Linked DNA regions of Macaca fascicularis. The protein of the gene in region 7 purifies or fractionates together with the protein of the main gene of each other region. This does not show direct contact. Links are inferred from orthologs where the notes say so. Each region holds a gene or a part of one and is shown on either strand. Other genes may lie near its edges. The genes, in order: MET, ARRB1, ARRB2, STAT1, IKBKB, KDR and SRC.

Region 1 (4,197 bases), on a different chromosome or scaffold from region 7:
TCTCCCCTTAAGAGGGCACAATGAGGAAATTGAGTATCCCATGAATAAACACAGCAGAACAAGGAAATCTTAGGGATTTAGACCATGGAAAAGAAAGCGTAGATGGCTCTGGTGAGAATCACTAAGCCTAATGCCTAAAGAAGAAACCAGCAAACTGGGCTGGAGAAATGGGGGCACAGAAGGCCTTGAAAGCAGCTCTGACCAAACCAAAGGAAAAGGTTGAGTAGGAAGAGGACAGAGAAATGGGAGGTAATCCGAATGTGTGAGGAACTGTGCTCACCATGGGGGTGTCATCACGTCCTTGGTGCAGCCACTTGGAGAAAATGAGCCAGTTAGAGGATATTAGCCCCTCTGAGTTATTCACCTTGTTTTGAGATGACCACATTTGAGAAAAAGTGTATTTGAGACTATTATGTAGTTCTGCAGAAGGATAATTAGACTAATGCTATTTCAAACGCTATTTTCACAACAGCTAAGGAAATTGAGTTTTGAAATGTATTTCTTAGTTTAGCCTTCATTCAGACAAAATTTTTTTAAAGACTTCAAGATTAATGCAAGGCATATACTTACATAGTCTTAAAAGGAATTTATAAAATATGGGTATTTCTCCTGCTTAGCAAAGGGTCATTTTTCTCTATTATAGGTTTAAAAGTAGTGAAAATATTAGTTATGAGCTTTCATATTGACTGGCTGTGATTAATCTGCTACATTTTTATCATGAAGATAAACTCCATCCACTAATTTTGAAAGCATGTAGTATACATCTGATGTAAACCCCTATTGCCATGTATCAAGAACAAAGCAATTTTGAAAAAGCAGTAGTCGGTAGACCATCTTCTATATGCCACAAATTCCATCATGTTAAAAGCAAAACATATTTAAGTTAATAACTATAGCTTATGCACCATTAAGTTTGAAAACTGAATAGAATTTTTAAAACACCAGCACATTTTATAGGCTATCAGACACATTTTTCGTACTACAAAAATTTCTTATGAATGATGTAAATTTTCCCTCTGTTATTCAGCAGTTTAAAAAGAATGAACATTGAATACACCACAGACTTGCAAATGATAGGAACCAAAGTACCTCACTTATGTTCCATTATGGAAGTTTACATGTTCAAAACAAAGCTCAATTAGCTTAAAACAAGCAAGGAAAGCTATGTACCTGTAAATAATCCAAGCACCACTTACACTATTTACATAAAAATGCAATTTATGTCCTTGTAGCACATAGAAACACGATGTACATCATTTTCAGATCATCTTCATGCAGAAAAAATTCATTAGTCAGCTATAATAGTTTAGCTGTAAGGGGATATAATGTTTTTCTGAATCTATTTGCATGGCAATGTGCATGTGTCTGGCTGATGGAAGCGACAGAATAAACCTCCACCCAAAGCTACAGAATGTGAACAGTCTTCTTAAAATTCAAGAGAGGGTCCAGATAGTCTATATTGCCTCCAACGTCAGTTTTTACAATCCTCTCACATCCATGGACCATCTTAACATAGCAATTAAAGTATCTTGATTATTTTGCCTAAGAGAGTTGACAATATTTCATTCTGCCCGAGGGCTCCTTTGAACATAAAACTGTGATAAGGTAAAATACACTGGGCAACTATTCATGCGTGAGCCACTGGAGCCCTCTCCAACTGCCAAATTAGCAAATGGCTCTTTTAAAACATGAAAGATATGAATGGGAAACCGTACTTGGGAGTAAATTCTGCATTGACAATAGTCAGGGAAAGTACTTTCACTGGTGCTTTAATTATCGGGTCAGCACTACGACTGGCCACATTGCCCAGCCTCTGGTTATAATCTATTTCACCTAATAAGATAGATGTCCTCCACAAGCCCCAGAAAGAGATAAGGTACGATGGAAAATTGATGGATCACAAGCCCCGCGTGATTGCCAGAAATGAATTCAGACTTTCACAGAAACACCTACCCCTTGGAAGGACCCCAGCATAACACAGATAAAGCAAGGCTGGGAACAAGGAAACAGCTAGGCTCAAACCTTGCGGGCTGCATCACGGTGGGACGAGGATGACCGGATCCTTTTTGTAAGGGCTGAGTCAGATCCCAGCTTTAAAACTTGCTGGGCCATAACAGTCATACATTACCCACTGTCCCAGTGCCCCTCTCCCTCCTAAGTCATACAGGTGGCCATCAGAGGCAACACCCTAAAACGACAAGCCCCATTCTAGTTTCGTCCTCCCCTGGCCACGTCTCTTCAGTTTCCGAAGCCCGTAAACTCTAGCCCACCTCCGTGGTTTTCCCCCTGGAACAGCAGTCAGGTCTCTTAGGGGAACAAAGAAAGCAGAACCGCTGGGGCGAGGGCTGGGGTGCGGGATTTGAAAGGGGCTGCAGTTTTACCTTGCGGTGCCCAGGAACCAGTGGAGAAGTCAGCGGCGCAAGGACCACCCGCGCGCTCCGCGCCTCCCCGCCTCCTCGAAGCAAGTCAGCTGTCGCCCCGCATCTGGCTCGCGCCCTCCACTCGGCTCTGCATCTGCTCACAAAGCGCTCCGGGCGCCGCGGGCGGCGAGGGCCTCCGGGTCACCTGCGGCCGGGCCGAGCCCAGCGCCCCGCCCGCCCGCTCGCCGGCCGCGCTCCCTCCGCCCCTTCCCACACGCGCGCTGCCCTGCCAGTGACTCAGCCGGGCATCGGCGCGCGCGGCCCGTGGCGGCCCGGGCGCGTTGGGGCCGGAGGCACCGCCAGGCGACCAGACCGAGGCGCTCGCCTGCCCGCCCCAGCACGTGTACGTCTGCCTCGCGCGCTGTCCGTCCGCCTAGTCCGCGGGTTCCGAGGACCGCTGAGGTGGGGATTGGCACCACCCAGAGGGAAATCGGCCCCCGCCCTTCCTGCCGTCCGCGCCGCGCCTGGCCCCGCGGGGGTCGCGTTTCCTGCCGCCTCTGCCCCGCCCACGACAAGGTGAAACTTTCTAGGTGGAGAAGTTTTCTCGCCCTGGCTGCGCGCTCTCCTCCCCCAGCTCAGGCAGACTGAAGTTAGCACAGCCGGAGATAAGCGGGACCGAGACTCCCCCTCCTGGCGCTTGGGAGGCGAGTGTCACCCCGGGCGCAGAGGCAGGGCGCGCACCCTCCTGGCACTCCGCTCGCTGACCCCGGGAAGGGCGCGAGCTCTGCTCTCCGCTTCTCCCACGTCTCCGCTAACCGCCCCGCGCCCACCCGAGTATAGAGAGATTTGGGCACCGCAGACACACTGTTAGAGGCGGCGGTAGAAGTGGATGGATGAATTGTCCCAATGATTTCATTATGCAACGATTATCCTCTACTGTAATAACTCAGATTTCTGCAAGGAAGAACAACAGAGGAGTTTAACCACGAGGAGACTTCCATTTCTTTTTCTTTTTCTTTTTTTCATAGCCAGAAGCAGACTGATTAAATAACTGGGCAAATAGCGATGAACAAGCAAAATAGAACAAAAGTTTAATTCTTGAATGTTGAAGTCTTACGATGATTTTTAAAACAGAGCTTTTGGGGCCTTGGTGTACTCTATTAGGTGTAATTGTGTTGGGATAACTTTATATTTCGCTATAAAAATTGACACCTACAATAGTAAATGAACACTCAAAGGTAGTAGGATCTAAGGAACGGGCATTGCTGGTTAGGACTTGAATTCGTTCCGGCTCTTATATGGGCCTGTTCAAGCATCTCACACGGGCTTGTTCAATCATGGTAATAGATAATGAGACATAGATCTCTTCGTTATTGAAAGTCATGGGTTAAAATAACAGTTACTATGCAGGTTCAGGTCTTATTTACTACAGAATGGAAGATAGAAAAATACAGTGAGAATAGTTATCATTTCCCAAGTGCCAGGCATTACCAGAAGTTACATAAGAGTGATTTCAATCTTCAAAAGAGATTATCTCGTGATTCCCCAGTTTTATGGAAAAGGAAAGTTCCCGTTACGTTACTATTGAATTGAACCATTTGCAGGTAAAGAAACTGAGTCCCTAAGAGTTCCCGGAAGAGTCACACATCTGGTTAGTAAGAGGGGCAAGGTTAGAACTTAGCTCTCAGCCCAGTCAGGTGTCCTTCACACCATACCAAGAGGCCTCCGCTGGCTAAATAAACAATGCGACCTGACTGGAGATTTCCTGATACTGCATGGCATAATTTATCAATGACTACAGCTCATTTAAAACAAAAACAAAAACAAAAACAAAAAA
Region 2 (3,500 bases), on a different chromosome or scaffold from region 7:
CCTTTCCAATGAGAGAGCTGTCATGCAGCAGATAGTGAACAAGCCTTGGAGTCAGACGAGCTGTGTTCCAACCCCAGCTTTGCTGCTTGCTAGCTTGCAAGTCACATCTCTCTGAGCCACTTCCTCCTCTACACACTGGGGCAGCAGCAACCCCAGCCCCACAGTGCTTCCTGAGAAGTAAACAAGTCTGTGAATGCAAATGCCTCCCCAGCCATCCCTGCTGGTATTCGTTATGCAGACGCTGGCACCATCTGCAGTGGTTGCGATTTTCTACTCTTTAGGGATTATACGTTACTCTGGTTCTAGATCATTTCACTTTACCATCAGGAATCTATGCCTCATAGCTCTGATTTTTTTGAAAAAATCAACAGTGGATATGAAAAATATCCAATAACCAGAGAATGCTTGATCTAATCATAGCATGTTCACCTATAGGACATTAAAAACTATTTCAAAGGCCATGTAGTAACATTTAAAAAATGTTTTAAGTTGGCCGGGCGCGGTGGCTCAAGCCTGTAATCCCAGCACTTTGGGAGGCCGAGACGGGCGGATCACGAGATCAGGAGATCGAGACCATCCTGGCTAACACGGTGAAACCCCGTCTCTACTAAAAATACGAAAAAAAAACTAGCCGGGCGAGGTGGCGGGCGCCTGTAGTCCCAGCTACTCGGGAGGCTGAGGCAGGAGAATGGCGGGAACCCGGGAGGCGGAGCTTGCAGTGAGCTGAAATCCGGCCACTGCACTCCAGCCTGGGTGACAGAGTGAGACTCCGTCTCAAAAAAAAAAAAAAAAAAAAGTTTTAAGTTGCAAGAAATACTGATTGGAATTATATATAAACAAATACACATATACATGTAAAATTATATCGGGTGTAATTGCTCCAAGAAATTACTTGCAGGGCCAGGGGGGGAAAAAAAATGTGTGTGTCTTTGAATGGGAGCATTTACTTCCTTTAGGCAAGTAAAGATGTTTCACTTGAGATCTCTCCTCTTGCCTCAGCTGCCAACAAGCTTGGGACAAAGTTCAGTCCATGCTCAACCATAGTAGTTCTCCTCAAACCTGGATTGTCCCCCACACAACCTCTTTCACCCAATGAGCTGGATTACCCCTTTATCAAACAAGAGCTGTGTACCTAGTGCCTTACCCACTTTGCCCTGGCTACCAGAAAGTTCAAGAACAAAGTATTTCCCTTCAACCTAGGTTTCTTGTACAACGTAATTATCTTCTCTCCACAACCCCAATCCCCTTACATTCATTAGCTCTTGTTTTGTCGTTCTAGTTTTAGTGGGTCTCTTCCTTGACTGTAGCATGCATTTTCTTGTAGATAAATCAGGTGGATGGTTTCTAAAAGGCTCTTCGGGATCATCTACTCTGAATGGCAAGGAAGTCTGAGGCCCAGCCCTCTGCCAGGTGGAGAAGAGCCACCTGGACCTGTAACGGGACACCTAGAGCTTCTCTTTTTCCCACCGAATCCCACACGCCCAAGGCCAGACTTGTGCCCACTTACTCAGCCTCTTCCATGGCAACAGGGCACTTGTACTGAGCTGTGTTGAAAAGGCAGATGTCTGCATACTGGCGCACTAAGGAGGGAGAGGAATCGAGGTGGAGTGAGTCAGGAATGCAGCTCCCATGGAGTCTCACAGGCGTCCCGGGTTGGGGATATTCAGCCCCAGGCAATGGCCAGAGGCCACCAGTGGGGACTTCTGCATGAGACCACCCCTGTCTTCCATCCAAAGGGTAGCCCCAAACACATCCCTTTCCTTCCATAACCAAAGCCTTCCCCTCAAGGACAGCTTTGCCCAGAACCCAAGAAACTGAAGAGGTGGCTTAAAGAGCAAGCTCATTACCTGGCCAATAAGCAGCCTGCCTTACCCGACTCAAAAGCTTTGCCCTGTGGCTCAGAGCAGGCCCCAGGCTTCAGTGGCTATTTTTTATACAAGGCTGTTAACAAGGGGAGATCCTTCGGCCACTCCCAGCCCTTGGGAAGACTGCCTCTTGCTGTCCCCTAAGCTGACCCTCTGCCTGGGGTACCTGAGATCTTGATCTTCTTCACCGTCTTGTTGGTGTTGTTGGTGACGTGGACGTTGACACTGATGGGTTCTCCATGGTAATAGATCTGGGGGGCATAAGAAGGGATGGGGTTGGCTGGGCGGACAGCAAGGTCCTAGGGAAAGGGGAGGGAGAAAAGCCCCCACGCGATCTTCTGGGGTTCCCCAGACCTTGGGCAGACCTTCAGAAGGGTCTGCTGCTCCCTTCTGAAGTCCATCACATCCCTCAGGTTCATGCCCCCTCTGCCACTCCTTTAGGCCCAAGAGATTTCTCTGAATCCCCCAAGGCATTGTGACATTTGCCCCAAGTTCATCAGCCACTTCCCACTGCTGCTAAGGTGGCATGAAAGCCACCAAGCACATTAGCCTTCAGTTCCCTGGTGGGACCCTTGAAAGATAATGGAATTGGAAGGTGATAGTCCTGGGCTCCAGCCCTGGCTTGGCCACCAGTAATCGTGACAACAATAACAACAATAACACTGACGATGATGAAAGCAGTGTGACCGTGGGTAGGTTAAGCCTCAGAGTCTCCCTCTGTGCAATGAAGGGGTTGGACTAGGTGATATCTGAAGTCCCTGCCAGCTCTAAATTCTGTCCATGGAAGGATCTGGAAGAAGCAGGGAAAGGTGAGGAGGGGCTGACCAGCTCACTGAGGGAGCCAGCTCTGAATCCCCACAAAAAGGCCTCAACCTGCATCTTGCCCCAAGGCACTTCCCTTCAGCCATGCCCCAAGAGAGGGGGGGTGCCCACACGTTGAGGAGGGGCTAGCCCGAGCTCACAGCAGGCATCAGTCATCTGGGTTTGATTCAGAGCTTGAGGGGAGGCCCTTCCTTCAGCAGGGCTTGTCGCCCCGATGCTCAGGGTTTGGCAGGGAGGTCACAGCCCCCCACCGTACCCCCTCTGCAATGCTGGTTGACCTTCAGCACTCGGCCTGAAGCAGGCAGCTGGTGGAGGTGTGGGGGAGATGTCCAGGACCTTCGGGAGGGTCTGCTCCTCCCTTCTGAAGTCCATCACATCCCTCAAGTTCACGCCCCCTCTGCCATTCCTTTAGGCCCAAGAGACTTCTCCAAATCCCCCAGGAGAGGTCTCAGATTCCCTGAGCCCTGTGGTCCTTGGGCTGGGGGTAGAAGCTCCTACCTGAGGCATCCCTGCAGGCCAGGAGAGAGCTGGGATCTGAGGCCCAGGTCCTAGTGGAGCAGCCCCCACCCCCTGCCCAGTTCAAGCCTCCTACCTCCTTATCCAGGGAGGCCTCTAGGTGCAAGGGCTTGTCCGACATGAGGAACTGCCTGGTGGTCTCGGCTGTGGGCTGGGGGCCAGGCCTCTCTGGGGCATATTGAACCTTCCGGATGACCAGACGCACAGAATTCCTAATGGGGATGGATGGAGTGAAAGAGGACCAGGGTCACCTGCCTTCATCCCCTCTCCTTGCAAGCCTCACATCATTCTCCTGCT
Region 3 (4,099 bases), on a different chromosome or scaffold from region 7:
AACACGAGGTCAGGCATTTGAGACCAGCAAGGCCAACGTGATGAAACCTTGTCTCTATTAAAAATATGAAAAGTAGCTAGGCATTGTGGCAGGCGCCTGTAATCCCAGCTACTCGGGAGGCTGAGCAGAGAAGTGCTTGAACCTGGGAGGCGGAGGTTGCAGTGAGCCGAGATCGCGCCACTGCACTCCAGCCGGGGCAACAGAGCGAGACTCTATCTCAAAAAAAAGAAAACGAAAAAAAACTTCTGCACATCCTTCAGAAAGACTGTCCTCATATGTTCTCCGCTCCACCCCCGCCCGGGCCGAGCGCTGTTAGTGGCTGTGTCTTCTGACTCAGACCTCTGTAATAGCATTCCTGGGTAATACCTGTGTATGTGTCTCCTCAACTATTCTAGGAAGTCAGGGGCCATGGTAATTCATATGTGTCCCCATCGATTGGCATAGTAAATAGCATAAAATAGGCACGGATGGGTGGGTCGATAGATGGACCGATGGGTGCGAGCGAGTGAGTGAGTGGATGTTAGCTGGGATGGGTGGGTGAAGGAGATGGAGAGTCAGAGACATTGGAAAAGGGAACCCTGCGAAAATCAAATGTAGACACCAGGAGGAGCTGACACGCTGCGGTGAAGAAGCGGGAGGGCTGGCCACAGAAGGCGGTACGCTCCGCGTGGAGCAGGTGAGCTGCGCGCACTGAAGCAAGTATCACGCAATTGAACTGCTCACCCACGTGTTCCCCCCCACCATCCTCCTTCCCAGACGGCGCTTCAGCTCATTCCACCGCCCCCAACAGCCCGGTCGCCCCCACCGCCACTGAGAAAGCAAACAAAGGGGAGGAGACCCCTAAAGGTTCTGGATGCCGAGGGCCAATCGAAAGACTTAGATCCCCTGGAAGGCGGGAGCCTTGGTTTAGGGGGGCCCAATCGGTTTCAAGGGGTTGCGGCGGGGCGGGGAGATGGGCGGGAAGAGCGGGAGCGGGCCCCGCGCGCGGGGGAGGGCTCCCCGGCTGGGACGGAACGCGAAGGGTTGGGGGCGGAGCCAATGGCCCTGTGTGTCTGCTAGGAGAGGGCGGGCAGCGCCGCGGCGCGCGCGATCCGGCTGACGCATCTGGCCCCGGTTCCCCCAGACCAGAGCCGGGCCGGGAGGGAGGGGGAAGAGGCGAGAGCGCGGAGGGCGCGCGTGCGCATTGGCGCGGGGAGGAGCAGGGATCTTGGCAGCGGGCGAGGAGGCTGCGAGCGAGCCGCGAACCGAGCGGGCGGCGGGCGCGCGCACCATGGGGGAGAAACCCGGGACCAGGTAAGGGAGGTGGGGCCACGCGGCGGGGCATGGGCGGCGGCTCGGGGCGGGGGCTGGGACGGTCCCAGACGAGGACGCCGCGGAGAGGATCTGGGGGCCGGACGCCTGGGTCCCTAGGGACAGCCATCCGGGGCCGCACGCGCAGGTCCTCGAGGATAATGAGGTTGGGGGGAAATGCCCGGGCCCCTGCAGAAAGCGAGGCCGGAGGGGGATCAGAAAAACCGGTGTCGGGGTTCTCTCAGGGATGTGGGGCCAGACTACTGGGCTCTCCCGTGCCCAGGAGTCTGGGCAGGCTGCGATGCAGGGACGGAGGGAGGAGCAGGTGGCTGGCCCCGAGGGGTCGTGTACGGGGAGGCTGGATGCTGGGAGGGGGATCCCCTCCAGACTCGTGCCAAGCCAATGCAAAGCCTCCTGTCCAATATCCCCCAGGTAGTCGCGCTGCCCACACCTGTCCCGAGGGCCGGGTGGCTCCTCATCCAAACTTCTACCTTCCCCTGGGTTGCCAGGAGCAACAACAGCTTCATCTTGGGAGAGCCTGACCCTTCCTGAAACTAGATCGGATCCCTCTCCCTGGGGGTGGGGGAGGCAGTATTCACGCTGGGCGCGCGTCCACTCCCCGGATGTTTTCTGTGCAATCGAGGCTCTTTCCTTCCACTGATACCCCGAGTTCTCTTTTTTGGTCTCTAGCAAAATCCACTTCCTGTTGTGACTCAACACCCCCAAGGGGTAAGGGGTGAATGCCTGAGTCCCAGGGGAGCAGGAGCAAAAGACAGAAAGGTTGGGGCTGTAGGCCTCAACCCAGAGGGGATCGGGAATAGGGAATTGGTCCTGAGCTCTGGCTTGCTCTGCAAAGCATCATATCGACCCCACTTCCAACCTATAGAGTAGGAGAACCCAGGTTTCTGAGCGTCAAGTAGATGAGTATCAGAAAGAGATCATCAGAGAGATGATCGGTGTCCTGGATTAGGGTTTAAACATCCCAGAGAAAGGGGAAGTTGCTGCCTTGTGGGAGGCCCCTGATTTCCGTTATGTGGTTCAAGGAGTGGGACAGATGGACCAAAGGGGACTGCTGACTTGACCCAATTTCCCTCACCTCCATCAAATTCTGGGCCACAGGAAATGGAGAGAATAGCAGGAAGTGTGAAAGGACATCTGCTTCAGCTACCCCTGCCCCCATTGGGCACCTCCCTGGTCATCCCCACACTCTGCCTCCTTGGCCAGCCTAGTATCTGCACGCTGCTCCTCCTCAGCCTGGCAGGAGGTGGCTGGGTTAGGATCCAAAGGGCAGGTGCCTTGCAGCTGCTCCAGGGCAGTTGCCCCAGAGCCACACTGCAGTTGGCCCACTGACTGTGGCTGTCACAGCCCTGTGCCAGGGCTCCTAATGGGAGGACACCCTGGGACAAAGAGGAAAACCAGAAGCAAAGGGGAGGGAGAGCCTGGATGATGCCACAGCACTCAGCCCCCAAGTTGGGACAAAAGATAGGATGTTTATTCTAGCTGCCACCGTATCGATGTTTATTCTCTTTTATTGGTTAGGAATACCTGGGAGCCTCCATACCCTTTACCTTATAATCTTTGGACAGCTTGGCTTTCTGGGAAGAAGGGACAAGTGAAGTTGTAGCAGAAACTGGGCCTATGGTAGAAACCATTTAGGGCCAAAGGCCAGAGTCATTGCTCTCCTATATGCTCCAGCTGTCAGAGCTGTAGACCAGATGGAAAGATGGTTAAGTCTTACCCAGATACTGCGGCAACCTGCCCATTGGGGTCCTCTGGGAATGGGGTGGTAGAGTTGGAGGAGGGATGGGCTAGTTGGCAGGATTTCACGTTCTGCTGTCTATCTGAGGATCCTTTCCAGGGATCACTGCTGAGGCAGAGTGGATTGGAAGGAGTAAGGTGATGCTTCAAAGAATAGGCTCACAATTGGCCAGATCACTGGGATTGCCAAACACTTCCTTACCCTCCCAGCAGTGGGTGGAGTCCAGGCTTAAATTGTTTCAGCAACTGGAAAGCGAATACCCTTCAATTGAACAAACTATTGATGCCAGCTACAGAGACGGATAGTGTAATATTGATTGAGAGGATGGACTCGGAGCCAGACCGCCTTGGTTTCTATTAATTCCCACCATTTACTCTCTCTGTGACCTTAAAACACTTAACCTCTCTCTGCCTCAGTTTCCTCACCTGGAAAATAGAGACATTAGGACCTCCATCACTGGGTAGTTTTATTTTATTTTATTTTTTATTTATTTATTTATTTGAAATGGAGTCTTGCTCTGTCACCCAGGCTGGAGTGCAGTGACGCAATCTTGGCTCACTGCAACCTAAGGCCGGGCGTGGTGGCTCACGCCTGTAATCCCAGCACTTTGGGAGGCTGAGGCGGGTGCATCACCTGAGGTCAGGAGTTGGAGATCAGCCTGGCCAACTTGGGGAAACCTTGTCTCTACTAAAAAACTACAAAATACAGGCCAGACGCCGTGGCTCAAGCCCGTAATCCCAGCCCTTTGGGAGGCTGAGGCGGGCGGATCACTTGAGGTCAGGAGTTCGAGATCAGCCTGGCCAACATAGGGAAACCCCATCTATACTAAAAATATAAAAATTAGCAGCCAGGCGCAGTGGCTCACACCTGTAATCCCAGCACTTTGGGAGGCCAAGACTGGCGGATCACGAGGTCAGGAGATGAAGACCGTCCTGGCTAACACAGTGAAACCCCGTCTCTACTAAAAATACAAAAAATTAGCCGGGCGTGGTGGTGGGCACCTGTAGTCCTAGCTACTTGGGAGGCTGAGGCAGGAGAATGGCATGAACC
Region 4 (3,500 bases), on a different chromosome or scaffold from region 7:
TAAACTACCACAAATATCTGTGGTTCACTCTCTGGAACATATTGTGGAAATGATGGTCTTGAAAAGACAAGGCCAGTTCCTTCCTTTGCATCAGGTTCGTTATCTGCAGATCAAGGATGTGAGTCAATATAATCTGCAACCCGTTCTTGGAAGGAATCACATTTCCCACAGGAGTAAGCGTCCAGATTCTCTTAGGGTCATCCCAGAGTAGAGTGTGCAGTGAGGACAGGCTTCGGGAGAAGACTTCGTACACATCATTAGCCAGGGAGTTGATGCAGGGCCTGTTGGGACGAGTGGCAGCCTCTACCCTGCCTTCAAACAGAGCAGCTGCAAATTTATCTTTATCATATATTGGGTTTCTATCTAATCAAATGAGTCCATGGCTAAAAGACTCCAGAAACCTTGATGTTATGAAGCAGGTTTCTGAGGGTGAAGCTCAACAGCATAAATGAAAAAATCATGAAGACCAACTAATGACTTTTCACTGTTGTTCAGAGTTTGGTCTATTTGAAGGGCAGGAGGAAAAACTGATTTGTTTCAGTAATCTTTTTTTTTTTTTTTTTTTTTGTTGTTGTTGTTGAGACAGAGTCTCACTTTGTCACCCAGGCTGGAGTGCAGTGGCTGTATCTCAGCTCACTGCAAGCTCCGCCTCCCGGATTTACGCCGTTCTCCTGCCTCAGCCTCCCAGGTAGCTGGGACTACAGGTGCTCGCCACCTTGCCCAGCTAGGTTTTTGTATTTTTTTTAGTAGAGATGGGGTTTCACCATGTTAGCCCGGATGGTCTGGATCTCTTGACCTCGTGATCCGCCCGTCTTGGCCTCCCAAAGTGCTGGAATTACAGGATTGAGCCACCGTGCCCAGCCTGTTTCAGTAATTTTTATACTTTAAGTGGGTAGACACAAAATGGAATATTCTTCTTGTTCTATTTATTTTTCTGAAATATTCCTCTTTTCCTATTTTTCTGGAATACTCCTATTTGTTTTTCTGCCGTACTCTTCTTGTTCTGTTTGTTTTTCTGGAATACTCTTGCTTTATTTGTTTTTCTGGAATATATTCTATTTTTCTGGAATACTCTTGTTCTATTTATTTTTCTGGAATACTCTTGTTCTGTTTATTTTTCTGGAATACTCTTGTTCTATTTATTTTTCTGGAATTCTCTTGTTCTATTTGTTTTTCTGGAATGTATTCTATTTTTGTGGAATACACTTGTTCTATTTATTTTTCTGGAATACTTTTGTTCTGTTTGTTTTTCTGGAATACTCTTCTTGTTCTATTTATTTTTCTGGAATACCCTTCTTCTATTTATTTTTCTGGAATATCTTCTTATATTTATTTTTCTGGAATACTATTCTTTCTTGTTCTATTTATTTTTCTGGATTACTCTTCTTGTTCTGTTTGTTTTTCTGGAATACTCTTGTTCTATTTATTTTTCTGGAATACTCTTCTGTTTATTTTTGTGGAATACTCTTCTATTTATTTTTCTGGAATAGTCTTCTTGTTATATTTATTTTTTTGGAATACTCTTCTTGTTCTATTTGTTTTTCTGGAATACTCTTCTTGTTCTGTTTTTCTTCTGAGGAAAAAGCAGGGAGGCTGAGACGAGAGTCTGGCATGGGCAGTAGTCATTGGAACCTGCCCTTTTCCTCTTACCCTGTTCCCTTCCTGAACTAGCCGAGAGACAGAGCTAGCAGACCAAGCAGAGATGAAGAAAACCCTTGGCAACCAGAAAAGGTCAAGCAGGACAGTACCAGCCAGGAAGGGTTAGGATAGCAGCATAGTCTCATGTTCCACAGCAGGCTCCCCAGAGCACCTGAACCGTGGCCTCTGGAAGGTGGACACCCAAAGGGAGATTCTGTATCAGCTAGGAAGAAGGATCTGAATTTGGTGTGGGAATAAGAATGGGAGTAAATTAAACCATGGTTTTTACATTAAGGGTTACAGGGAAATGTAGGAAATAGGATCTTTTTTTAATTTCAAAGTGTTTTCTATATATCATCATTTATTTTAATACAAAATTAGATTTTTCAATATGAAAAGAAAAACAGAAAGTGAGTTTATCTTTAATAATTTAAATCTATGGCTTAAGCCAAGATGACCCACTTAGTAGTGAGTTATTTATGTGCCTATGGGCAGCACATTGTTGAAGATGCAGGCTTTTAAAGGTTTTTAGTAAATCTTTTTTGCCCAGATTTATAAATCTAAGCAAATAATGGCAAATAGAATGTTATTGAGAATAGTACCTCCCTTTATTTTCCCTGAGACAGTATTATAATTTATTTAGAAATAAAGCAGTCTATTATGTGTGTTGTAACGCTTAGATTGGGATTAGTTCTTATGAGGTTCACTCAAATCCATCAACTCTGCAGTGTTTTATTTCTCTGTCCTCTTTCATTTTGGGATATTCTACGGGATTCACTTAGCTTTTTTCCTTTTTAGAACCTTACTTCCATGCGGTTGAACCCTACACGAAGAAAGAACTTTCTGCTGTTACTTTCCCTGACATCATTCGCAATTACAAAGTCATGGCTGCTGAGAATATTCCTGAGAATCCCCTGAAGTTTTTGTATCCAAATATTGACAAAGACCATGCCTTTGGAAAGTATTACTCCAGGCCAAAGGAAGGTAAGTGGGGCAAGCGGGTGGTAACAGCGTGGCACAGTCCTTCCTGATGAGGGGGTGGTTATTCTCAAACTCCACCCATGTGGTGTTTTGCTTTTGAATTGGTAAGAGTAGGCTTTCAAAAGATGGTATAAACTCAGTGCAGGTGAAACATAATGCATTATTTGGCCTGATACAGCTAGTAAAAAATGAATGGACAATTTCCTATTTTAGGAATGTTGGAAAAGTCCATTGCTGGTCTTGTGTATTTGTTACTATCACTGTTTCCACATGAAAAGGGGTAAAGAATAAGGAACTGTGGCCAACCAATGGAAGGCATCTTGCTCACATTAAAGTTGAGGAAACTGAGGCCTGGGAGAAGTGAAGTGGTTCGTTTAGGGTGGCCCAATTACTTACTAGATCCTATTTTTTTAACGTAATTATTAAGAGGAGGCCTCATCTGAGAACACAGGTCTCTTGCTTCTCAGTTGTCAATGAATTGCATTTGAGAAAGTTCAAATTAGACCTGTTTTGTTTGGAACACACCAACAAAGCTGTTTTTCAGAATCAGAAATCTCAATATTAGGACAATTACTTTGGAATGAAGATGCCCCCAGCTTACCTTGACAGCTATGAAGATTCATTAGCCAGGCTAATGCCAATAAACTAGATAGAACTTTGCATATTTTGGGCTCCAACTTCTTGTAAGAATTCAAGTTGTGTAAAGAGAAAGCTCCTAGCTAGTGTCCTGCTGAAATCTGCCCTTTTCTTCTCATTGCCTATGCATTCCCACTAGAATTTTAGGTGACTCAGGCAGGGAGGTTATAGCCCCTTAAAGTTTTAGGATGCTAGGCTGCCTAGAAGCACAGTAGAACTTTAATCCCCCCGAAAAGTTGATGTTC
Region 5 (3,500 bases), on a different chromosome or scaffold from region 7:
AAGAGGAAGGAGGAAGGAAATTCTAAGGGGAAAGATTAAAGTGAGCAAGGCACGTTTGGGAGGTGGTGGGTAGCTGTCTTGGCCTCAGGAAAGGGTTTGAGTGCTCACAGGAGGCAGGCTCTGCAGGGCCAGGGGAAGGAGCTTGGAGTTTGTCATGTGAACCACTACATCTGGCAGCGTGGGATCTAGATTCTGTAGGGGTCACCTGAGCTAGGATGTGCTTATAAAGTGTATTTTAAAAACCTCATGAGTCATTCTTTTTCTTTCTTTTTTTTTTTTTGAGACAGTCTCCCTCTGTCACCCAGGCTAGGGTGCAGTGTGGCACAATCTCGGCTCACTGCAACCTTTGCCTCCCAGGTTCAACTGATTCTCCTGCCTCAGCCTCCTGAGTAGCTGGGATTACAGGCGCGCACCACCATGCCCGGCTGATTTTTGTATTTTTAGTCGAGATGGGGTTTCACCATGTTGGCCGGGCTGGTCTCAAACTCCTGACCTCAAGTGATCCACCTGCCTTGGCCTCCCAAAGTGCTGGGATTACAGGCATGAGCCACTGTGCCTGGCCTTCATGGGTCATTCTTATGCAGCTATTTGGAGGTCAGGAATCTCTGATTTCAGGGTATTTTAGAATTCAGGAGAGAGGTGTGAACACCTGAATAATTGATTGGAAATGTCTATACTGTTTCTGATAAACCCATTTTCATTTTCAATCACCATCTGTTGGCTGCCATCTGTGCATATACTGGGAGACACACACTGTAGCCCAACATTGGCTGGAAGTGTCTCCTCACACACTCTGCTCCTCTCCACAGCGTCCTGGCTGAGCGACTGGAGAAGTGGCTGCAACTGATGCTGATGTGGCATCCCCGACAGAGGGGCACAGATCCCACGTATGGGCCCAATGGCTGCTTCAAGGCCCTGGATGACATCTTAAACTTAAAGGTGAGCATGGAGCCAAGTTAGCCCTGAGGCAAAAGCTGGGGTCCCCAGCGGAGCATGCACTTCTTAGGATAGAGCAGGGGATGGGGCCAGCTGACTTAGTGAGAAAGTTTAGGCTCCTGCATCAGTCTTTCTGCATAAGTAAAGAAAGGACAGTTGTGCTATTTGACATTGGCTATGAGGTCATAGCCACAGACAGGATTATGAAAGACGAAAATATGCGAAACATGGCACCTGACCTCCCTCCGTCAAGCCAGGCCGTTGCTTTGTGTGGTTGGGAAATGTTGGGAGTAGCAGAGAGAGGACCTAGGCAAATAGATGCGCATCTCCTTGAAGAAATTGGTTTTCCAGTAACATCTGGGTTGTGTTGCAGCTGGTTCATATCTTGAACATGGTCACAGGCACCATCCACACCTACCCTGTGACAGAGGACGAGAGTCTGCAGAGCTTGAAGGCCAGAATCCAGCAGGACACGGGCATCCCAGAGGAGGACCAGGAGCTGCTGCAGGAAGCGGGCCTGGCGTTGATCCCCGATAAACCTGCCACTCAGTGTATCTCAGATGGCAAGGTAAGCCCTGGCTTCGTACACACCACCCTGTTTCCCTTGGCTGTGCCTCTTGGGAAACTCAACACACCTTCAGATTTCAATTCTGCTTTGTCATGTAGTCTGTTTATCATACAGTGTGGATACCTGCCTGGTGTTTAAGTTGGAGTATGGTGTCCTCTGTGTGGCCTGATAGGAAACACAAATCTCCTTGCTGGACTTGTTACTTCCAGACCCTCCAAGACCGTTCTCTTGCCTTTATTGCAAAAAATGATGCGGTAGTACTTGAATCGCTCAAGTTGCCAGCTTGGCCCTCTTCCAAGTATACTTAAAAAAAAAAAAAAAAAAAAAGATGCTGCACTGTCTTGAGTCAACTGAAACTATTTATGATGGCCTCTGTGTTAGGCACCTGTGTTAACTATAGCCGTGTAAGACATGGCCTCTGCTCAAAAAGAGCTTCTCACCTGACTTGTGGAGATAAAGTTATCATATGAGAAATAATCATTGCATAGGGAAGTATATAGTGAATTTCTGAACTTCACAGGGATGACAGTAAAATAGAATGTAATAAGTTTGTAAATAAGGAGTGTGTTCCAACAGTAAGTGTAGGCTGGAAACGTTGGGAGAAAGACTTCATGTATGCTTCGTACTTGCTGGCTGAAGATGATGCTCTTGCCAAACAGTGGGGAAAGCTCTGGAACCTCTTCATTATTAGAAAAGAGAGGATTGGATCCACAAGATTCATTTTGTTCTTGTCCCTTTGCAGTTAAATGAGGGCCGCACATTGGACATGGATCTTGTTTTTCTCTTTGACAACAGTAAAATCACCTATGAGACTCAGATCTCCCCACGGCCCCAACCTGAAAGTGTCAGCTGTATCCGTAAGAATTTGTTTTGTTTTGTTTTTCTAAATAATCAGTTATAATATGTGGGACAAGGCAGGGGAGGGAGACTGGACTAAGGAAAGGGGAGCCACATGAAGGAAATTAGTATCGCCAGTCCTCGGGGCAGCCTTCCTTATTTAGGACATGCAGAGAGTAGCCAGGCAAGAGACAGTACAGGAAACCATTAGTGAATTTCAACCTCCTAGGCTGGGCATGGTGGCTCACGCCTGTAATCCCAGGACTTTGGGAGGCTGAGGCAGGAGGATCGCTTGAGCCCAGGAGTTCAAGACCAGCCTGGGTAATATAGTAAGCTCTCATCTCTACAAAAAATTTAGAAATTAGCCAGATGTTGTGGTGCATGCCTGTAGTCCAGCTATTCAGGAGGCTGAGGCAGAAGGATCACTTGAGCCTGAGAATTCAAGGCTGCAGTGAGTCATGATCACTCCCACTGCATGCCAGCCTGGGTGACAAGAGTGAGACCTTGTCTCTTAAAAAAAAAAAAAAAAAAAATTCTATTGAAAATATATGACCCTATATACATATGTGTCCAAATGGTTCATAAAGTGTTTCTTCAAATCAACAGCTACTTATTGACCACTGGTACATGCTGTTGGTACAAATACATGTATGTGACAGTAACCAGGCATAACACCCTCCAAAGTTACATGATCCTATAGTAGGTATAAAACGTGAAAGTGCCAGCAGTGTTGAAGGCAGGATGTGGTTAATTGTAGGAGAGTTATTGTGGTTATTTTTTGACAATTGCCTCTGTCTTTGTCTCCAGTTCAAGAGCCCAAGAGGAACCTCGCCTTCTTCCAGCTGAGGAAGGTGTGGGGCCAGGTCTGGCACAGCATCCAGACCCTAAAGGAGGATTGCAACCGGCTGCAGCAGGGACAGCGAGCCGCCATGTAGTGTGCCAGGCTTTTTTTTTTTAAACTTAATTTATTTAAAATTGCTTGGTGGCTTTGGCCACAGGGAGGTGGCTGAGGCAGGGACCCAGAAGCAACTGTTAATGAGCAACAAAAGGGAGACACTGGTTTGGACAGACGGGAAGCAGTTGGGTGGGCTGGACTGAGGCAGGCCCCTTTAGACCTGATGAGGTGAGTGTGGTCGGCCCAGGGCGAGGAGTATGGAAC
Region 6 (3,500 bases), on a different chromosome or scaffold from region 7:
CATACACGTGCATGTGTGCGCACACACACACACATACACCCCCATCCAAGTGTGGAGCCAGATGTCTTGGAGCCAGATGTCTATCAGTAGAATAAGCTATGGATGCCTTTGCTTGTGTGAGGTGTCACTTCCAGTCATTCACTTGTCTGGTTAGAGTTTAGGAACCTGAAAAATGACCAACTTTTCTAGTAAATACCATTAACTCATTAATAAAACTAAATTTTCTTCTAGATTACAGATCTCCATTTATTGCTTCTGTTAGTGACCAACATGGAGTCGTGTACATTACTGAGAACAAAAACAAAACTGTGGTGATTCCATGTCTCGGGTCCATTTCAAATCTCAACGTGTCACTTTGTGCAGTAAGTTGCATCTCCTCCAATCGTCTCTTAAGTTTTTATATTTTTAAGCGAATAGTAAGACGGGTAGCCTGTTTATAATATTCACAATGAGTTTTCAGGATCCTTTACGAAGGGCGAAATACACTGAATAAAACTAATTAGTATTCTTAAAAATAAGATGAATTCTTCAGTGATCATTGTACATGGCTCTCATTTTTGGTACTGGATTAAATATTTGGTATTTCTTTTTATTACCCAGAGGTACCCAGAAAAGAGATTTGTTCCTGATGGTAACAGAATTTCCTGGGACAGCAAGAAGGGCTTTACTATTCCCAGCTATATGATCAGCTATGCTGGCATGGTCTTCTGTGAAGCAAAAATTAATGATGAAAGTTACCAGTCTATTATGTACATAGTTGTGGTTGTAGGTAAGAGGAAAGTTCCTTTCCATATCATTAATAACAGATAGTAGAGAGTAACTCCTTGTATTAAGATCTTGGAGATAACGATGTACAGTGAAGAAGGATATTGAAAAGTATAGGAACTCAGGATATGGTGTTGGGCAATTCATCTGCTCTTCTCTACCAAATAAACCCATGTGCAATTGAGGTTGTCTCTTTTCTTGCCAAGATCAAGGATGAAAAAGAAATTTTTTTTTAAAAAAGGATGAAAATGAATGGTATTACTGGAGCTCATTTATGCTCAATGTTCGGAGCATTGCTTGCTATCAATTATTTCAATTATACCTATTTTATGGAAACTTCAGCAGTTTGCTAAAGCTGGCCCTACTGGCCTAGGGCTACTGACCACTGAAATTTTGCTACTTTTCTATCCACTGGGTTACAACATCTTTGAGATCTGTGAAGGTAGTGCTTTGTAAATCTCTGTTGGCCATTTTTCTGGGAGCTACCAAGTATTGGTGAGGCCTGCAGGGAAAAACAATGTGGTGTGTTTTAAAGTTGCATTACTTTAAAAAATAAATTTGTGCAAAGTTATAGGCTTATTTTCTCTCTCATGTTCTGTTTTTTCAATTTACTTGCTCTAGGGTATAGGATTTATGATGTGGTTCTGAGTCCGTCTCATGGAGTTGAACTATCTGTTGGAGAGAAGCTTGTCTTAAATTGTACAGCAAGAACTGAACTAAATGTGGGGATTGACTTCAACTGGGAATACCCTTCTTCGAAGGTAACACTAATGATTCAAAGCCAGACCTCCAAATACTTAGATAATAAGACCCAATGAAGTTTGCTTGAGAGATAGGGGCCTCTTTGGCCAGATAAAATTTAAAAGTCTTAGAACACACACACACACACACACACACACACACACACACACACACACACACACACACACAAGTTAAGGGAATTGCAGAACAGATAGCACCCACAAAAAGGTGAAATACCAGGAATTTTGTCCTGTTCTGCAACAGCCAGTCTATGAATATTAGTTTTCTCTAGGTGATTACATCTTTCCACATTATGTCATTTCTCTTTTCTCCAAAGTTTTTGATCTACATTCCTTTTAAGGGAATTTCTCTTTAAGAGGTGGCACGAGATACTCTGCTCCTTAAACAGTGGTCACATTTACTTGTGTTTCTGCAGTTTATATCCATCTCATTTTCGCCATGTGAGGTTTTAAAAATCCTAATTCAGTTGGTTCCATTTATTTCTCCTGAAACCAAATACATCATTGGCTGCATGAGGTTAAAAGTTCTGGTGTCCCTGTTATTAGCATTAAATAATGTTTACCAAAGGCCAAGATTTAATTCTCTGTGTTACTAGAAGTTATTGGGTAATGTTATATGCTGTGCTTTGGAAGTTCAGTCAACTCTTTTTTCAGCATCAGCATAAGAAACTTGTAAACCGAGATCTAAAAACCCAGTCTGGGAGTGAGATGAAGAAATTTTTGAGCACCTTAACTATAGATGGTGTAACCCGGAGTGACCAAGGATTGTACACCTGTGCAGCGTCCAGTGGGCTGATGACCAAGAAGAACAGCACATTTGTCAGGGTCCATGGTAAGTTATGGTCTCCTTGGAAATTATTCTGTGCCTTGACAAGTGAGATAGTTTAAATAAATTTAGGTCACTTAGTGATTCCTAGTTTGTTCATTCAGAAGATACTTCCTAGTTCTTCTTGTTAGGGAGGCCACATGACCTAGAGGTCAAGAGCGTAGCTTTGTAGTCAGGAACTTGAGTTCAAACTTCAACTTTAAAGATGAGATGTGCTGATATATACTAAGAGCTCACTTAGTATTACTTATTATAGTTGTTGCTGCTATTAGGATTATTACTATGATAAATAGTATTAGCTAGGGTAGTTTTTAAATTTTTGTTTTATTATAAGGCTGAGAGGCCTACCTGAATAAGCATGAGCTTTGCAAACTGGGGAAACATTTAGCAATATATAGTTGGACCTGTGAACAATTCAGGGGTTAGGGGAACTGACCCTCCCTCTGCAGTCAAAAATCCATGTATAGGCCTGGCGTGGTGGCTCACACCTGTAATCCCAGAACCCTGGGAGGTGGAGGTGGGTGGATCACCTGAGGTCAGGAGTTCAAAACCGCCTGGTCAAAATGGTGAAACCCCATCTCTACTAAAAATCCAAAAAATTAGCCTGGCGTGGTGGTGGGAGCTTGTAATCCCAGCTACTCAGGAGGCTGAGGCAGAAGAATTGCTTGAACCCAGGAGGCGGAGGTTGCAGTGAGCCGAGATTGTGCCATTGCACCCCAGCCTGGGCAACAAGAGCAAAACGCCTTCTCAAAAAAAAAAAAAAAAAAAAAAAAAATTCAAGGTATAACTTTTGACTTCCACCAAATGTAAATAATGACCTACTGTTGACTGGAAGCCTTACTGCTACATAAACAGTCAATTAACACATATTTCATATGTTATATGTATTATATACCGTATTCTTATAATAAAGCTAGAGAAAAGAAAATGTTATTAAGAAGATCATAAGGAAGAGAAAATATATTTACTGCTCATTAAGTGTAAGTGGATCATCATAAAGGTCTCCATCCTTGTCTTCACATTGAGAAGGCTGAGGAAAAGTGGGAAGAGAAGGGAGTGGTTTTGCTGTCTCAGGGGTGACAGAGGTGGAAGAAAATCTGCTTATAAGTGGACTCATGTAGTTCAAATTTATGTTGTTTAAGGGTCAA
Region 7 (3,500 bases):
CGCAGACTTCACTCAGACCCGTGCACTCTCTCCACACTCACACGCTGGGCCACACACACGGCTACACCCCTGCCCGGGACACGCACACATGCGGAGTGGAGACAGGGTCACAGACACCCGCGGACACATCCCCAACGCAGATGTACCCAGATACAAACTCACATACATGCACAGGTGACGTCACACTTGTAGATGAAGACACACGCGCATGCCGTCAGACGCGCATTCAAAGACACACACAAGACACAGACACATGCTCAGCTGGAAGTCACCATCGTGGCCGCCCAGACGACAGATGCACACGGGTGCATCGAGAACATGCGAACACTCAGAGACACACGGACAGGGCTGGACCCCTCAGATGCAGACGCACGCCCGAGAGAGAAACAGATCCACGGACACACCATTCATTTGTTCAAGAAGTATATATGGAGCTCCTACTACCGGCCGGGGCTCCTCTACTGGGCAGACGGAACCCACCTGGGGGAAGGAAGCACAGGGCAGCTTGTGGAGGGCGTTAGAAGTGGCGCTGCGGCCAAGACACAAAACAGGCAGGGAGGGAGGGCTGGGGGATGTGTGGAGGTGGAGGCTGTAGCTTAAAATGGTGGAAGGGGGTACGGGGGCCTTTTTGAGGGGACAGTTACTTGGAGCCGAATCTTCCTGGACACCAGGAGCGCCCAGAGTGACACACTTTACGGAGAGAGAGCAAGTCTTCCTGGGGCAGTGTTCTTCATTCACCGCTTTGTTCAGCCTACAGCTCTTTCTTGAGCACCTACTATGTGCCTGGCTCTGGAAACAAAACAAAGATGCTTGTTATTGGGGACTTCTGGTCCTAGAGTAAGACAGGCACCAAACAGATAAGCCGGGACCCAGCACTGCCCAAAGCCCTGGGGGCGGACACGGACAGGAAGGGATGCTCCCGCTCCCACATGCCCTTGCAGGGATGTGCAGACACACGGATGCAGTGGACACATGCACAGGCCCATCTTCACTGAACCTGACCGTGTCTTTGGGCTGGGCGCTTGTGGTGTGTGGGAGACAAATCCCCACTCCTCCTGGGCACAGGGCCCTCCTGCCCACGCCTTCCCTGGGTGTGGCTCCACCATTCTGACATACCCCACCCCTCTCTGCAGGTGGAGTGACCACCTTTGTGGCCCTCTATGACTATGAGTCTAGGACGGAGACAGACCTGTCCTTCAAGAAAGGCGAGCGGCTCCAGATTGTCAACAACACGTGAGTGCCCCCTTCCCTACTGCCCGTCAGGGCTGGGTGGTGGGACTTCAATGCGGGCAGGGGCTCATGCAGGATCTGGCATCAGGGCAGCGCAGTGCGGAGCCCAGGGCAGTGCGGAGCCGGGCGCTTGCTGCACTCTCGCCCTGGGCAGCACCTGCTGTCGCTCCCCCAGCCGTGGGGAACTCCTCCCAATCCCTGGCTCTTGCTTGCTCCCTCCAGCCCTCTCTCAGCTTCTCCCTCTCTCTGCTTCTCTCTTGCTGGCCCTTAGGAGGAAGGTGGATGTCAGGTGTGTACATGCTCTGTGGGCAGCGGGCTGGGCAGGGTGCTTTGCGGGGGGTGGGGGCTGCTGTCTGCATGTGCTTCCACTCCCTGCCTGTGATCTCTGGCTCTCTTGGCTGCTCCTCACCTCCCAGCTTCTCCTCTCCCCCCCACCAATTGATTAGGTCCTGGACCTTAACCCCAGGCTGTGATCAGGGGCCCCTCCGTTGCACTCTCCTGCACACCTCCTCCCCATCCACCTTCCTACTCACTCACCCTCCCATTCTGCCCCGTCAGCCCACCCAAGTGTCCGCTGCATGCAGGACCCAGTGCTGTGACTGGGATGGCCTGGGTGGAGAAGGCCTTGGCCACGCCCTCCTGGAGCCAGCATGTGGCCAGGGAGACAGCCCATGGCCCCAGTCCAGGCCAAGAGTCAGGCAGTGGACGAGCCCAGAGTCAGCTCCTGGAGCCCCTGCTGTGGGCCTGTCTCTGGTGATGACCACAGGGATTGGGAGGGTCAAGGGCCTCAAAGGAAAGCCAGTGAAGTTCTCTGGCAGGTGGCAGTGGTGGAAGGGCAGCTTGTGGGAGGGGGCCGGGCTGGAGGGGGCTGACGCCTTCGCGGGTGTGAGAGGCAGAGAGGTTCTAGAGGGCGGAGGAGAATCGATCCCTGGGTGTCCTCGAAGGCCTGGCTAAGGAAGTTGGGGGTTTCCACTGCCCCGAGCGTGTCTGGCTTGCTCATACCCCACTTACTTGCCTTGCGCATGCTCTTCCCTTTGCCTGAAATGCCCTTTCTCCGGTGTCTGCCTGGAGAACTCCTGTTCATGGCTCAAGATCAGTGCAGGACTGCCTTCTCAGGGGGCAAAAGGGAACAGAGGTGCCAGTTGCCATGCCAGTCGTCTCCACCCGTGTCCTCGTATTGACTCCTCTCTGCAGTCTAGCCAGGGTTGAAGTGATCGGGGAGGGGCTGTCTCCATTTTGCAGATGAGGAAACTGAGGCTCAGCGATGTGAAGGTCCTTGTCCAAGGTCACACAGCTGCCAAGTAGCAAAGCCAGGACTGGAACTGAAGCAGCAACTTTCTGCCCTCCTCAAGCTGCTCTTGGCGGCGGGGGAGGGGGGGTGCGTGGAGGGGAGGGGCTCTCCCAGCTCCCCCTCCCCCCTTGCATGGCAGAGTCCTGGTGCGAAGCTACAGTTTTCTTATTGTCACCAGCTGTTTGTGTCTGCTTCCCCCCTAAACTGGGAGCTGCTGGAGGGCAGCTCTCTGGTGCACCTCACTTCTGGGTCCCCATAGCACCTGTAACTCAGCACAGTGGCGGGTGCCCAGCAGGTGATGGTGAACAGGATGAATGAACAGCAGTGACAAAGTCACCATTTCTTGTGCTCTCTATGTGAGCCTGCTGAGTGCTTGAATTCGCATTATTTTATTTATGCATCACCATAGCCTTGAGAAATGGGAAGTCTTACTTGCACCATTTTACAGATGAGGAAGCTGAGGCCCAGAGAGGTGAAATGACTTGCCCAAGGTCACATGGCTAGTAGTGGCAGAGCTGGAAGACTAGGCTGGCCCTCCGACCCATGGTCCTTTCAGAAAGGCTCAGTGGAGGTGCAGCAGAGGCCACAGGCGGGAGGGGCCTGTGCAGGGGAGGGGCGCCAGCAGGATGGCTTTGAAGTCCTGGTGGAGTCTCTACCAAGCGTCTCAGACTGGGTGACAGCTGGGGCAGAGGTGTGGAGGCAGGAAGGGCTTGGATAACTTTGGTTCTGCCTTTTTCACCTGGAGTCAGAGGGCAGCCCCATGCTTGCCTTTTTCCAGCCCTTTCCCTCCACTCTTCTTGCCTTCCGGGGGGGGTGCGCTGGGGGAGGTTTGGCCAGGAGGCTGGGGCTGCCAGGAGGCCTGGAAGTGATGGAATCTCATTCAGGGAAGACCCTGGGTAGACTGGGAGATGGGGGTGGGTGGATTGGGAGCCCCTCCTCATATCACAGTGCTCCAATGTTCCTTCACTTAGACGTCAGA

Evidence for each region.
Region 1: the proteins of SRC (region 7) and MET purify together in Homo sapiens (co-immunoprecipitation; 4 studies listed by BioGRID and IntAct, with this or other methods). This does not show direct contact. The link is inferred for Macaca fascicularis from reciprocal best matches to the Homo sapiens genes SRC and MET.
Region 2: the proteins of SRC (region 7) and ARRB1 purify together in Homo sapiens (affinity purification with western blotting; 3 studies listed by BioGRID and IntAct, with this or other methods). This does not show direct contact. The link is inferred for Macaca fascicularis from reciprocal best matches to the Homo sapiens genes SRC and ARRB1.
Region 3: the proteins of SRC (region 7) and ARRB2 purify together in Homo sapiens (affinity purification with western blotting; 4 studies listed by BioGRID and IntAct, with this or other methods). This does not show direct contact. The link is inferred for Macaca fascicularis from reciprocal best matches to the Homo sapiens genes SRC and ARRB2.
Region 4: the proteins of SRC (region 7) and STAT1 purify together in Homo sapiens (affinity purification with western blotting; 3 studies listed by BioGRID). This does not show direct contact. The link is inferred for Macaca fascicularis from reciprocal best matches to the Homo sapiens genes SRC and STAT1.
Region 5: the proteins of SRC (region 7) and IKBKB purify together in Homo sapiens (affinity purification with western blotting; 3 studies listed by BioGRID and IntAct, with this or other methods). This does not show direct contact. The link is inferred for Macaca fascicularis from reciprocal best matches to the Homo sapiens genes SRC and IKBKB.
Region 6: the proteins of SRC (region 7) and KDR purify together in Homo sapiens (co-immunoprecipitation; 5 studies listed by BioGRID and IntAct, with this or other methods). This does not show direct contact. The link is inferred for Macaca fascicularis from reciprocal best matches to the Homo sapiens genes SRC and KDR.

Annotation. Positions count from the first base shown.
Region 1 is NC_088377.1:158,137,298-158,141,494, reverse strand, and holds the start of MET (hepatocyte growth factor receptor), read right to left. Parts: upstream 2,801-4,197; 5' UTR 2,382-2,800; intron 1-2,381. UniProt on the Homo sapiens protein: Receptor tyrosine kinase that transduces signals from the extracellular matrix into the cytoplasm by binding to hepatocyte growth factor/HGF ligand. Regulates many physiological processes including proliferation, scattering, morphogenesis and survival.
Region 2 is NC_088388.1:74,139,767-74,143,266, forward strand, and holds part of ARRB1 (beta-arrestin-1), read right to left. Parts: intron 3,416-3,500; coding exon 3,280-3,415; intron 2,117-3,279; coding exon 2,032-2,116; intron 1,581-2,031; coding exon 1,508-1,580; intron 1-1,507. UniProt on the Homo sapiens protein: Functions in regulating agonist-mediated G-protein coupled receptor (GPCR) signaling by mediating both receptor desensitization and resensitization processes.
Region 3 is NC_088390.1:4,804,851-4,808,949, forward strand, and holds the start of ARRB2 (beta-arrestin-2), read left to right. Parts: upstream 1-1,299; 5' UTR 1,300-1,322; coding exon 1,323-1,456; intron 1,457-4,099. UniProt on the Homo sapiens protein: Functions in regulating agonist-mediated G-protein coupled receptor (GPCR) signaling by mediating both receptor desensitization and resensitization processes.
Region 4 is NC_088386.1:86,671,598-86,675,097, reverse strand, and holds part of STAT1 (signal transducer and activator of transcription 1-alpha/beta), read left to right. Parts: intron 1-2,436; coding exon 2,437-2,622; intron 2,623-3,500. UniProt on the Homo sapiens protein: Signal transducer and transcription activator that mediates cellular responses to interferons (IFNs), cytokine KITLG/SCF and other cytokines and other growth factors.
Region 5 is NC_088382.1:45,830,133-45,833,632, forward strand, and holds part of IKBKB (inhibitor of nuclear factor kappa-B kinase subunit beta), read left to right. Parts: intron 1-809; coding exon 810-939; intron 940-1,309; coding exon 1,310-1,504; intron 1,505-2,246; coding exon 2,247-2,361; intron 2,362-3,148; coding exon 3,149-3,272; intron 3,273-3,500.
Region 6 is NC_088379.1:78,783,092-78,786,591, forward strand, and holds part of KDR (vascular endothelial growth factor receptor 2), read left to right. Parts: intron 1-231; coding exon 232-362; intron 363-600; coding exon 601-769; intron 770-1,386; coding exon 1,387-1,526; intron 1,527-2,180; coding exon 2,181-2,358; intron 2,359-3,500. UniProt on the Homo sapiens protein: Tyrosine-protein kinase that acts as a cell-surface receptor for VEGFA, VEGFC and VEGFD. Plays an essential role in the regulation of angiogenesis, vascular development, vascular permeability, and embryonic hematopoiesis.
Region 7 is NC_088384.1:93,496,231-93,499,730, forward strand, and holds part of SRC (proto-oncogene tyrosine-protein kinase Src), read left to right. Parts: intron 1-1,133; coding exon 1,134-1,233; intron 1,234-1,501; coding exon 1,502-1,519; intron 1,520-3,500. UniProt on the Homo sapiens protein: Non-receptor protein tyrosine kinase which is activated following engagement of many different classes of cellular receptors including immune response receptors, integrins and other adhesion receptors, receptor protein tyrosine kinases, G protein-coupled receptors as well as cytokine receptors.